2 linked regions of the Drosophila melanogaster genome follow. The protein of the gene in region 1 purifies or fractionates together with the protein of each later gene. This does not show direct contact. Each region holds a gene or a part of one and is shown on either strand. Other genes may lie near its edges.

What was found. Proteins that work in one complex are often made in the same cells at the same time.
Region 2: the proteins of dpr2 (region 1) and cDIP purify together in Drosophila melanogaster (affinity purification with western blotting; 2 studies listed by BioGRID). This does not show direct contact.

Annotation. Positions count from the first base shown.
Region 1 is NT_033779.5:10,960,171-10,966,833, forward strand, and holds the start of dpr2 (defective proboscis extension response 2), read right to left. Parts: upstream 3,984-6,663; 5' UTR 3,056-3,983; intron 1,198-3,055; 5' UTR 1,055-1,197; coding exon 916-1,054; intron 1-915. Other genes in the region: Tmem214 (transmembrane protein 214), read right to left, coding at 5,435-5,549, 5,622-5,740, 5,823-6,239.
Region 2 is NT_033777.3:21,157,937-21,164,027, forward strand, and holds cDIP (common Dpr-interacting protein), read right to left. Parts: upstream 3,157-6,091; 5' UTR 3,119-3,156; coding exon 1,454-3,118; 3' UTR 1,302-1,453; downstream 1-1,301. Other genes in the region: CG5810 (uncharacterized protein), read left to right, coding at 5,854-6,091.

The DNA of each region.
Region 1 (6,663 bases):
CAGATAACTGAGAAATAGATTTAAAATGAAGGATTTAAAATTTATATTTTTCCATGGATTGATGAAAGAACTTTAGACCAAGACTTTACCTTTTTATTCGCCCACAGATTGCACAGCATTATAGTTGCTTGTTTTTTTTTTTGGGTACCGAAAGTAAGCAACATGGCCAAGTAATGTCTAGCATAAACATAAAAATCCATCGTGCGTTAGCCTCCTTCGCCCGAAAGCCACAAACACAACAGAGTTTGGGGCTCAGAACCGCCTCCAGACCTCCCCCCCCCCTCACCCCAAGAAGGAGGCGAAGGATGTGCCCCGGCTGGGTGTCTGCAGATTAGGATGAAGGTCGCGATGGCTCGTCGGTGTCTCCTGTCAGAGTGCTCACTCTGCTCTTGGCCATGATTTAATTAAAGTCTACATGTGCTAAGTAGATTTTATTCTTTGCTCGCTCATTTGGTTTATTTGCCTATTTTTTCGCCCTAGTTTTCTGTTTCGCCTGCTGGCCATAATTGATTTAGGCATTTACTGCATTAGGCCAAAAAAAAAAGGCGCTCATACACTGGGAATGAAGTCAGGAAGAGGAAAGATACCATATTTGATTTATCAAGGAAACTAAGTCATTTCTCAATAGTGACTTTTCTGGATATATATTATGCTATTTACCGTCTGCCTCATACGAAATGAAGTCAACTAATTAACTTGTGCCTCCTCCTTGATAGTCAATTTTGGCTTACAATTGTGATTAGTAAATACGTATATGATATGTAAAATTTTAATAAACTTAACTACGGCCGTTGGTCATTGTTAATTTATAGCACATACATTCATAATTCATATCTTAGAGATGGTATTGAAATATGCTTTTATATGTGCACTATTAAATTGAACATGTGTGAATTGCGAGTGAGATCTACTTACACAACGATTTGACTGCAGGATGTTGTTGGATGGCAGGACTCAAGTGTTGTTGTTGCATTGTCCAAGCTCTCGAAATGCTTATCATTATTACGAGGATTGGCGTTGCGATGCAACCGAAGCATTTTCCCTCCATAGCCATGGTCCTGCGAGCCGGATCTTACTTATTTATATTTATTCACCTCAATGGCGGTTAGATGAGTGTAATTTAGCCCCACAAGTTTACGTATTTTGGTTTACATTACTGCTAATGGTTTGGTTCCTAAATCGTTTTTGAAGTGCATTCTATAAAGAGAGGGAGGAAACATTTTCATTAACGCTATTATTTGTGAAATATTCATGAAAAGCACTTGAAATGAATTAATTTGAATTATTGCAGCCATTCATTGCACTGCTGCCTAACTTAACATAAATCATTGAAAAATTATAAAAGTGTTTTTTTTTTTTTTGTGACAAGAATATAATTAAATAGTTATATTTTTTTGCAAATTCTAAAGGATTCAAGCCATATATAGCCAAGTTTATAGTTGGGGTATGTGAAAAACCAATTTCGTCCATCGAATTCCATGTTCGTACAGCATTTAACTGAAGCAAACATTGATATTAACCGTAGGCCTTCATTATAAATGTCCTTCATTCACATCATTTATCCTGTATCAAATTGCAACGGCATTAATTTATTTTTACATTTTCGGAATGTTTACGTTTGTATTTGTTAAGCCCTCATATATTGTCTGTAGTGGCAAGTTGCTTATCGCCACCATGTCACAGGAGCAGTTTTAACCAACGCAATTTGTATATTTACAACCCGCAAGCCGCACTCAAATAGTTTTTTATTTGGCCATAAAACACATAAATTGTGCAACTGAAAGGTGTAGCCTTGATCACTCACGAAATGTGCAAGGGTCAAAAACCAATTAAAATGTTAATTTCTCCACAAACTGCGCTTTGTTTCACGTTACAATCGTGCTCCACGAACGATCCAAGAGATATTGTATTCAATAAATATCGATTCCATGCCCTTCGACCCACCCTTCAGTTATCATTACCACAGCACTTAAATGATTTCAACCGTTGCTGGAGTTGTGTAATGAGTTGTTGTTTGTTGCGATGCCAATCAAACAATGGTGGTAAAATTAACATGGAATCAGCTTAAAATGCGCACTGCAATTGTTATTTTCATGGCATCGTTGGTTAATTGAATTTAGTGGTTTTGGATATGTATTGTTACTTTTTGGATAATTTAATGCCAAACTTTCATCGCGATAATGATGCATTTATAATTTTAGGCTAGTCCATTTTAAGTGCCACAAGTACAGTCTGCTGTTAATTAATGATATATATTGTACTTCTATGGCAGAGTCACTCAAATTCAACTAAGCCCACTTATCAAATTTAGCAACTGGCTTTTGTCTTCCGTTGTGTACTTCAGGCATAAATGCAAGTTAATTAAGCAAACCTGGTTGCACATTAATCACCTGGACACCCGGCCAAAAAGCCACAAAAGCACCTGGAGACCACTTGATCTTTAAGGAGAAAAGTCAAGGCATAAAGCTCGAAAGAAAATTCAATTAGAAAAACACGAAAGGCGGCCAAAAGAGCGAGGAAAACGGTTCGATTTCAATGTCTTCTTTTTTTGGGGGCTGTCCCCGGACATATGTATATACTGCTATTCCCTATTCAAGCCATTCTTTATAAGGTTATAAGATTAATGAGAGACAAGCTCATCTAATACTATTCCCTCAAGCGGCACTTAATTAATGCCACATGCAAAGAGTCCTGCGAGGTCCTTGGCCTTTGTCGAGTCCTTTTAAAGGCAGCTGGCAAATTGTCCAAGAAGTTTTCCTTAAAATTTTTTTTACTGTCGTACTTAACGAGTTTTTACTAAAACAAGGTCGGCCTTTTGCCTTTTTGCTTAAATATTAAATGTAATTATACTTTATTATATAGTATAATATGTGCAAAAAATGCTTTAAATCAAAGCCAGTGCTAACAAATGGATGTGTACATGTTTGCAAAAGTTTTAAAAGTCCAAAACTACACCAATTATTGACTGTCTGTGGAAAGTTTATTTATTGACGGAACAACTTTGACCTTTCCGCATCACCTCATTAACTTTTTTGTGGTTTAGTGAATTAATTACCTTTCCTACTTCATATCACCACAAGAACTCATTAGAAATGAGGACTCACTTCAAAGTCAATCCGTAACACACGTGCTCATTAGGTACATATTTCCGATTTTTCATTCTGCCCTGGATTTCAGAGGAAAAATGCGAGTGAACTTCAAAAGCAGATAAGGCGAAGAAGAACTTGGAAAAACTTCCATCTCAACTTGGAAAAACTTTGATTTAACATTTATTTTTGCACGAAACTCTTGGTTGTTGTTTATGCAACTGTCTGGAGTTTCAGTTGAAGTCTGTAAAAAATGTGTTTTGTTTTCTGTGTTTCAATCCTATCGCTAAGCGTATAATTTGCAAGAAACCTGAGTAACAAATGCATTTTCGATTGGCATTAAATCACGTCGCCCGTCCGAGTTCATTTCCGATGAGAAATAAATGTTTTTCTCTGATTTATCTGTGCTCCACTTTTCGAGGAGGGAAAATCGAGCCACATTGAATGCGAAAGAGCAGTGTGGGTGGGTTAATATTAATGTACTTAAAGCTGTTATTCGACTCAATTTTGGTGTCAGCAGCAGCAGGGCGAATATTTCCCATGAATTTAACCATTTAAACATCCAATGTTAGTTTTTAACAGACAATTAATTCAGGGGACAATATCTTTCACTGGCCGCATAAAGCGGCCTCCAATTCGAAACTTCACTTTTGCCTCAAGAGCATTATACACTGAGCGAAATCGAAGCCGAACGATCTTAGTGTCGTCTCGCGCACAAGTTGAAAAAACAGATGCGGCAGTTGGGAAAGTTGGGAAACCGCGACACCGCTATCGAATGCGGCAACTACGAGATATCCTTTCGTGGCCAGGACCACAATCTGCGATAAGGACTCGTAGTCACATCCGCGCCAAAGGACGAAACACGTGCGCCGCGACTTGAAATTCATTTGATACTGCGGCATCCGAGGCCGGAGCTTTTCCGTATTGTTGTTTCCTCCGCGCTGCAAGTAATCGTTCCGATGTGAACCGAGTCCTGCCAGCCACGAACAGGACGACGAGTTGGTTGTTATTGTCACTCCCGCACTCCGAAAACGGGTGACTTTGCGGCGAATTCGGGAAAATCCTTGTATTTGAAGGGGCGACTGTCTCCAAGATGAACGTCTAAAAGGGAAATTTTGCGGGGAGAATTTAAGCAACTATAATGAGAACCCTACTTTGTTGTACCAATTAGGAAAAGATTCTATCCAATCATGCCATTTCATGAAGATACCAAAGCTTATAAATATTTTAGAAATATAATTAAAACTTCTTCAACTTTAAAGGTGTTATTTTTCAAATACGCAACAATTTTTTGTTGTTTGCACTGCTTTGAATTATGATACACTGCTTAGGAATTTCTCTTCACTGCTTATATGGGTAACAAAAACCTAGGGAAATTTTAGTTCTTGGACTGCTTGCAAAACATTTGAACTGCTTAGTTTCGAGAGAACTGTTCTAGAAAAATTGCCCAGGAAATATTACTGATCTAAATTCTAGTCTCTTTTGGGAAATAAAAACTGCTTTCAAGCCGCTTTTCCAATTTAAACAAGTGTGTAGTGCAAGCCATGCTGCCAATGCCAACAGGTGTGTTCAGAATCTTACGATTCATCAATATGCCCCCAAAAACATAATCAAGCACAGAAAAACATTGAGAAATACGCCTTTACTTCACATCTTTCAATTTTATTTTATTTATGCAAAATCGTGTTTTCCATTAAATATACAAATGAGATTTAAAATCAAATCAAAAGTATCGCGCTATTATGCAAGTATTGGGGAGGAGTCTACAGAAATGTACACACAAATGCAAGAAAACTATGAATAAAAGTATAAAAATATTTGAATCTATTGTTTGCCTTCAAAATGCAGTTGGAATTGTTAAGTTCAGTTAACACAATAGAGTTAACACTTCGCGCATCGCCACAAAAAACGCACTTTAATAATTACAATTACAAAATTTCAATGGTAGAACTTTTCACAAAACTCTCATGCCGTTGTAAACGAATTTAAAAATAATGTTTTCTCAACTTGGAGAAAAATGTTTAAACACATGTTTTACAACAGAAAATTTCTCGTGTCTTTCACTAATTTATCAGTATCGAGGTTGAATTTACTAGATTGTTAGTGTACTATCGGCATCCACAAAGATTTGCTCGTATTGCTTTTTCTTAATTAAACTTGACGAGAAGTTGTTGATAAATGTGAATGACTTCTTGAGTTTCGACTTATAGAACATTTTCCGGTTTTTTAACTTTTTGCGAAAAATTAGGGCTTCCTTCACTATTTACTATGACGCGTATTCTGTTTGCATCTGCTGCAGCTGCTGATGATGTTGCTGTTCGAGAAGTAAGCGTTCCTGACGCTTAAAATCATTTGAGCTTGGCGTATGCGTCGACCTTTTTGTGAAACTGGTTGTAGTACTCCAGGGCGGCGTTACGCGTCTGGTTCAGCGCCTGATTGATGTTCTCGGGCGAGAGACGGCCACTAAACAAAGATCACAATCATAAGGGATGCATTCTCAAAGACAACAAAGGCCAGGCAGGCAGGCATACTTACACAAGCACCTTTTCCTTGATGAGCGCTGCAGCCTTTTCATAGCTGCTGGCGGCTAAATCGCTAACGCCAGCGGCAAAAGCTTCGATTTTGCCAGACGAATTGGGCACGTATTGGTCAATCTAAAATATAGATGGAACGTATTATTAATTCAAAACTGGTTTGCCCATGACCTCATCTTCATGGCGACTAAAAGACACTTACGAACTTTGCCACAACGGGCCATTTGGCGCCAAAGTATCCCTTGCCGTTCTGGTAAGCGTTGCAGGCCGCATTCCTCGCCAGCTTCCACAGGTCACAGGTGGTCTTGATCACCGGCTCGGCGTACGGCGGCACATTCACTTCCGCCCACTTGTAGCCCCGCGCTCCGGCCCCCATGACCGTGTACCAGGACTTCTGGACATGCGGCAGGACTCCGGCATTTTTCAGCACCTTGCCGGTGGCCGATTTCTCGAACACGCCCTTGCCGTTCACCTCGGTATCGTAGTACAGAGCTCCGGCAATCAGGGCGATGATGAAGATGCTACCCAAGGTCCACTTGCAGCATCCGCATTTCTTTTTTTCTGCCGCGGCCTTCTGTTTGTTCTTCTTCTGCTGCGCGCTGCTCTTCTCTTGGACGCTCTACATAGTACAAAATTAGAAAATTATTAAGAATCTTAATTGCTGGGGATAGTTGATATTGTGGAATCATTTGATTGAGTTCAATTTTTTACCTTTTTGGCGGCCGGCACTGGTTTGCCGCTCTGTTTGTTACTTTTCGGTTTAACCTGAGCCATTTTCTAACTTAATTTCAATGAGTTTCGATTATGAAGAGTATTTCTAGATTTCCTCAGCTGTTCGCAAAAGATGTTTAATTATTTATTGTGTTTATCATTGCAATTGTGTTTGCTAAAAAGAATGACGAGACTTTTTGAGCTTTTAAACTGAGCTTTTTTTGCGACTGAGCTCGATGACCTAAGATTTAAGAGTAAGCTAAAACCGCGAGTGAGGATGGGGATAATTAAAAATTGGAAATACGTAGTTATAATACCATTTTGTCCAGATT
Region 2 (6,091 bases), on another chromosome or scaffold:
ATAAAAGCGATCAATTATGTAATAGATAGTGTATAACAGTATCAATAACAGGAATAACAGTATTAAATCAGGCAATGTAAAATATAATAACATAAAACAATTCAAAGGGTCTTACCTGAATTCTTCATACGACTTTTTTTTGTCGAAACTCATTTGAAGTTATGGTTATAAAATCGTGAGTGGATTTCTTTAAATGTAAAAGTACCCTATCACGATGCCTACTACATTTTAGACATTGACTAATTAAGTAAGCACACTTCAAGCGAATGCCCAGAAATTAAAAAAAGATAGCTACTGAAGTTGGCAATCAGGAAATGTCGAACTTTGATCTGCGGATACAACTACTAGAAGTCGCAGATAGTCAGTCGCACTATATGGTAAAATTGAATGTTCGCACTTACAGCTGCCACGATTTGTGTGCCGCCAATTACCTTAAAACAAAAATTGCACTGCCAATGTAAACAAAACGTATTTGAAACTCGTGTTCGAATGGATATACATATGTATGTATGGATTTATTCCTAATCACATGCACACGATACTCCGGATCAGCAGATCGACCAGTGATCGTCGAGATCCGTGAAATTGGATTTGTTTCTACTTTCCGTCCTTACGAAGTGGCTGCACTGAAATCGAAACTGTTTGTTTATCTTAGCAATTAGTTAGCCATAAATGTGCGAGTAAGCGAATAGAAGGGATAAAGCATAAATAATTAAAACTGTTCGCATTAGCAGATGGCAATAAAATAACTCGGTTTCTGGTCCATTCGATCGAATTCAATATTGTTGTTTAGTTTCCGAAAATATTGGTTTTGTAATTGACTTGACTTTGTTCAATTCAACTCAAGTTCCCCGAGCCCCACCATCTTGTCTTCGCCCTCCAGTTTTCTTCTCGTTTTTCCATTTTGGTTCGCCAGCCCGAGTTGAACGAACCTCTTTCAATATCTTTCAGAAAAAGAACCCAACTTTGCTTTGCTCGAAAATCAATATTATTGTTTAAATATTATTCTACGTATACGACACAGCGAGCAATAAATATTTACTAGATGTGCTCATGTTGCAAATTGTATTGGTTTTTTGGGGTTGAGTATGCAAAATCAGCAGGGAAATGGAGCAGAAATTGTTTTCGAGATTAGGAATTGAATAGGCGTAGAAAAAAATGATATTCTAGGAAACTAAATCTTAAACAAAGACGAAAAGCCTTCCTGTTTTGTTAGATTATGGTTCCAACTTTGTATATTATCAAGAACTGGTAAAAAAAACATACACGCGAATTCTTTAGTGGAATTCTTCCAACAATTTAAAAAATGATTTATTTATTGGATCGAAAGATTTTATGTTTAAAATTAAGAAGCTTTAGGAAATACTTCAAATATTAATTATAATGTATACATATAATTGTAAAGCTTTGAAAATGTAGTGATCACATAAAAAATGGGCCATATTTAACAACTTCAAACGGACAAGGTCACTTGACTCCAAACAGTTTTGTTGAGCACTTCAAAGGCCTGAATTTGTTCATTCAATTGGGCCAGTTTACTGAATATCAAATCGAACTTGGAATCAAAGTGCTGCACCACTGCTTTCAGTTCATCGCGCAGTTTGTCCACCTCGCTGGGATCAGAACTACTTGTTATGGGCGAGGACTCTACGCTGGCGGAGATTTCCGAAGAGGAGGAGGAGTCCACACCCTCTTTTTCGGGCAAGCGATACATGCAGGCTATTCCGTGAAAGTATTCCCCCGGAAAATCGGGATCGTAGTTATCCACGGTATAGGCAATGCCATTGGCACGAATGAGCACATCCATTATGTTTCTCAGGCTGAAGCAGTTCCAGTTATTTCCATGAATATAGAAGTGCGTTAGTTGCGTGAGCGTGGGGAACGCGGATGGATCGATTTCCGTCAAATTATTGCCGGATATGTCAAGTTTCTGCAAATTTTGCATACCCTGCAACGCCTCCAGCGGCAGTTCCATCTGGCCCGTATTCCGCAGCACCAGCATCTCCAGATGTGGCGTCCGCCAACCGTCGGGCAACTGACCCAGGTTCGGATTGTCCGCCACATCCAGGTGCCGGAGTCTGGGCACGCGGCTCAACGACGCCAGCTGAACCAGCGAGTTGTTGCGCAGCACCAAATGCTCCAGTGCCTCGGAGGCGGGAAAGTACAGCTCGCGCACGCGATTGTCGCTCAGATCGACATTCGTCACCGATCCGTACAAATTGACACGGTCCAGCGAGCAATTGCGAGCGGTCAAATTGGTGGCGTTAATGTTCAGCAGTAGAACGACCAGCTCGGGGTTATTCGATAGATCCACATACTGCATCTGATGGTGTCGTCCGCGGGATCGAAAGGCATACTCGCCCACCTCTCGCAGTCGATTGTTCTGCATTGCGACCGACAAAAGGTCCGGATTGTGGGCAAATAAATCGCTCTCAATGGTGGTCAGTTGATTACCGGCCAGTCCCACGTGCCGCAGACTCTTCAGTCCGGCAAATACGTCCGCGGCTAAAGCCTCCAGGCGATTCTCTGTGAGATCCAGGTACTGTAATTTCAGGAGATTATCAAACGCACCCGCCTGCAGTTTGCCTAGTTTGTTGCGATTCAGGAAGATAAACTCCAAGTTTCCTGCTCCCCTGAAGGTTTTCGTGGGCAGCACTTCGATGTGATTATCGCTGAGCAGAAGAATCACCAGCTTATCCGCACCAATGGAGAAGTTCTCCCAGTAAATGAAGCGGATGCCACAGCCGCGCATGTCCAGCTCACTGACCTCTAGTGTGTAAAATAAGCGCAGGGGAAAATTGGTGAAGGTGCAGTTCTCGAAGATCAGGGTTCGCGAGTGCTCCTCATCGCCCACTTCGTAGGTGGTGCCATCCTCGGCAATCCGCACCTCCGTTGGCAGATCAAAGGTGGCCTTCTCGTCCTCTCCCGCAAACTCAAAGCCCCTGCAGCTGGTCACCTTGCCCTCCGTCTGGCAATGACCTTCCAAGCTGGAGACCAGCACTATTCGGGATGAGCCACTATCCACATCAGCATCCGCGTCCTCATCCGTAGTAGCTGTGGCCGCCAATGAGATCAGCAAATAGCTGCAGAGGAACGGCAGACAATTCCGGACGTACATTTGGCGTGCTCCACGATTCACGTTCGACCTGAAACTGATTCCAAACGTTGACCGCCAAACGCCTGGCCAGATAAGCTCCTCTATAATGCTCAAATAACGATCATCAGTTCTATATAATTGCCATCCCATTCTATTCATGGTGTTCTGATTTTGCGAAAATAAATATGGTTCATCTGTGGCGGGTACAGCGCATTTCGAAAATGTAAGGCAGGGTTTTTTTCTTTTTTTTGAAATCGGATTGAAATACTATTTCTATTTCGAAGAATTGAGATGCTTTGGAAATCACTGCTGACTAATTAATAGATTTAATTACAATTATTTGTCTGGGAACTCCTTTTAAAAGAAATTAACATCTTTTGCTGTACGAGAGAGATGAAAATCGGTTTGTTTTTTTTTGTACCTATCATTATTTTGACACTTGTCTGTGCTGCTTTTCCGTTTATTATTCATGATTTTTTGCTGCTCTATGGAAGTTCTCGCTCTGTTGGCTCCATTCAAAACTCACAGACTTTGAAAAAAAAAACAAAACTTTGTACAATATCTGTGGAGCAATTCCCACTCATTTCCAGTGTGTTCTCTTATCATGAAGTGTTTACTTAGCGATTTGCTGAACAAAAGGTGGAAATCTCTTTTGGCTGCTGATAGTGGACATGAGGCCAGACATTCGCCCATTTTTATGTAAGAGTATTTTCATTGGGGCCCATCCATCTTTGGCTTTTACCATCGAAAATATAGGCGCGTGGAAACGTTGCTTAAAATACCTTCTATATAATTTACACAACAGCCATTTAGCATTTTGTTGGCACTGCCTTGCGTTGTGTAGTTTTGCTGATGATTGCCCGAATGACTCATTATTTATCAGGCGAACAATTCAGTGGAGGGCATTTGAGTTTCGGTTTGATAAGAGCAAACGAACTTCCGTTAACTACTTTGTCGTCTGCATTTATTCCTAGTCTTATTTTTAAAGCAATCAGGCAAGAATGTAGGCACCTTTACACGAAAAACATTCGTAAATATAGCGAAACCAGAACTTTCGCCTGCGAAGCGGTGACATGTCCAGTGGAAAAATGTGTAAAATATTTAGCCAATTATTTAGCCAACATGCCAGCGGTTTTGAGAACACGTTCAACCTGCTTTCTCAGTCGTTCAATTTGCCAGTTGCAGCTTAGCGGGCGAAAACAAAAAGATTATGACAGGTAGAGCCTTATTAATTTGTATGCAAACAAATTTATACGCTTGTTGAAATGTTAAAAATTAATTTTCCATTCGTTTGCGTTGGGATTTTCTCGGCTTTGGCCGCCTGGGCAAACAAACAATTTGAATATCGATGGCTAATTTTTTTCACTTTATGTATTCACAATTGATCTGCCTGTTTGCATTGGGCTTATTATGAGCCAATGGCTTTTAAATTACTCGACTCAAGACGACTTTTGTTCTTTGCATGGCATTTGCCATAGCTGTATCTGTATCTATTGTAGCTGTGTATTGTATCTCAATTGAAACGGCATGACTTCGTTTAGCGTCTTTTTTTCACTTTTTCGCCTGTGCCCCCTTTGTTGAATTCAATTTGCCGCAATTACTTTGCATACAAGTTTCGAGAAATAAAAAAAAAAAAACAAAGAGTGAAAATTACCAGGCTTTTATTCTGTCGAGACTTTGTCCCCGCCGTCTGTACTTTATTCAAATCAAATTCGCCCAATAGTTTAGCAGTGTAAACAAATGCGATATAGAAATATATTAAATCAGAACATATAGCGCACCATTTTACGCCTCTATTGTGGGTGCTTTTATATGGCGCCGTCGGTTTATGGCACTTGATTTATTTCATTGGGTTTATTGGTCATTCGAACGCTAAATGCTCAGGATATCCAAAGGTTGTTCCACCCATCTGACTGCAATGATGACGCAACTAGATGGTGATATAACTGGAAAATGAGCTAATTGCCATTCAAATTGGCAAGTTTATGTCCAAGTGCTTTTGTAAATTTGTTCTAAGGCGGAAATGCTTTCAATAACTATGGCTTTATAAATAATATCCAATTTTTTGCTACGAAACAAGTTAGTTTATATCAGTGTAGACTGATTTTATGAACATATTTATAGCTTAATTAGATGCAGCAAATGCGGGGAAATACATTATTCGCTTTAAAGATAAGAAATCAAGCTAAGAAAGTGAAGATAGTTAAGATAGTTAAAGTTTCAATCGAAACCATATGCAGTCCTTAGTCCATCAAAAGATATTAATCTCAATTAACTGCTGTAAACAATTCCCATGATTATCAGAGCGACAGGCCAGACGTAATGTAGCCATACATTGGCTTACTTTTGCAATGGCAATACATCGTCCACAAAACAGCAGCCATTCCATATCAGTTGGCACAACTGGGCCATAAACTATAAACCATAACTACGAGTATGTGTTATGAAGTGGAGGATCGCGAGATCGTGCTTATCGGCCGGGTATTATGACAAAAGCCTGATAATATTTCCCAGCGAATCGTAGAAGCAAAAACAAAGCAAATATATTCATTGAGAGGAACAATAAAATTTTATTGACAAAAAATCGAACCAGATTGTGGAGGGGGTCGACAGAAAAACAAACAAACAAACTAGCGCCTAAAGACCTGTTTTCGCTTTTTTTTGTTTTTTTTTTTGGCTGGTTTCTGAAGGTTGTGTTCTGGTTTTGTATTAAAATGCCCCCCAAGCCAAAAATTGCTCAGTCTTTTAAAGCCAAGATGCGGATGCTAAACTATCTGAACTATATTTTAATCGCTGTGATTGCTTTTGCGACTTGTGAGTCACAAAAACTCGAGGAAATTGCAATTGATAGTTTGGATTGCCGCGAAAATACGTGCACGAATTTGAAATACCCTTCTGCTTCAGCAGTTGCCTACTTCTCAGAAAATGTGACTAAACATTTGAGAAAGTACGAAACTCTCGTTCTTCACAGCTCCGATTTGGCCAATTTGCCGA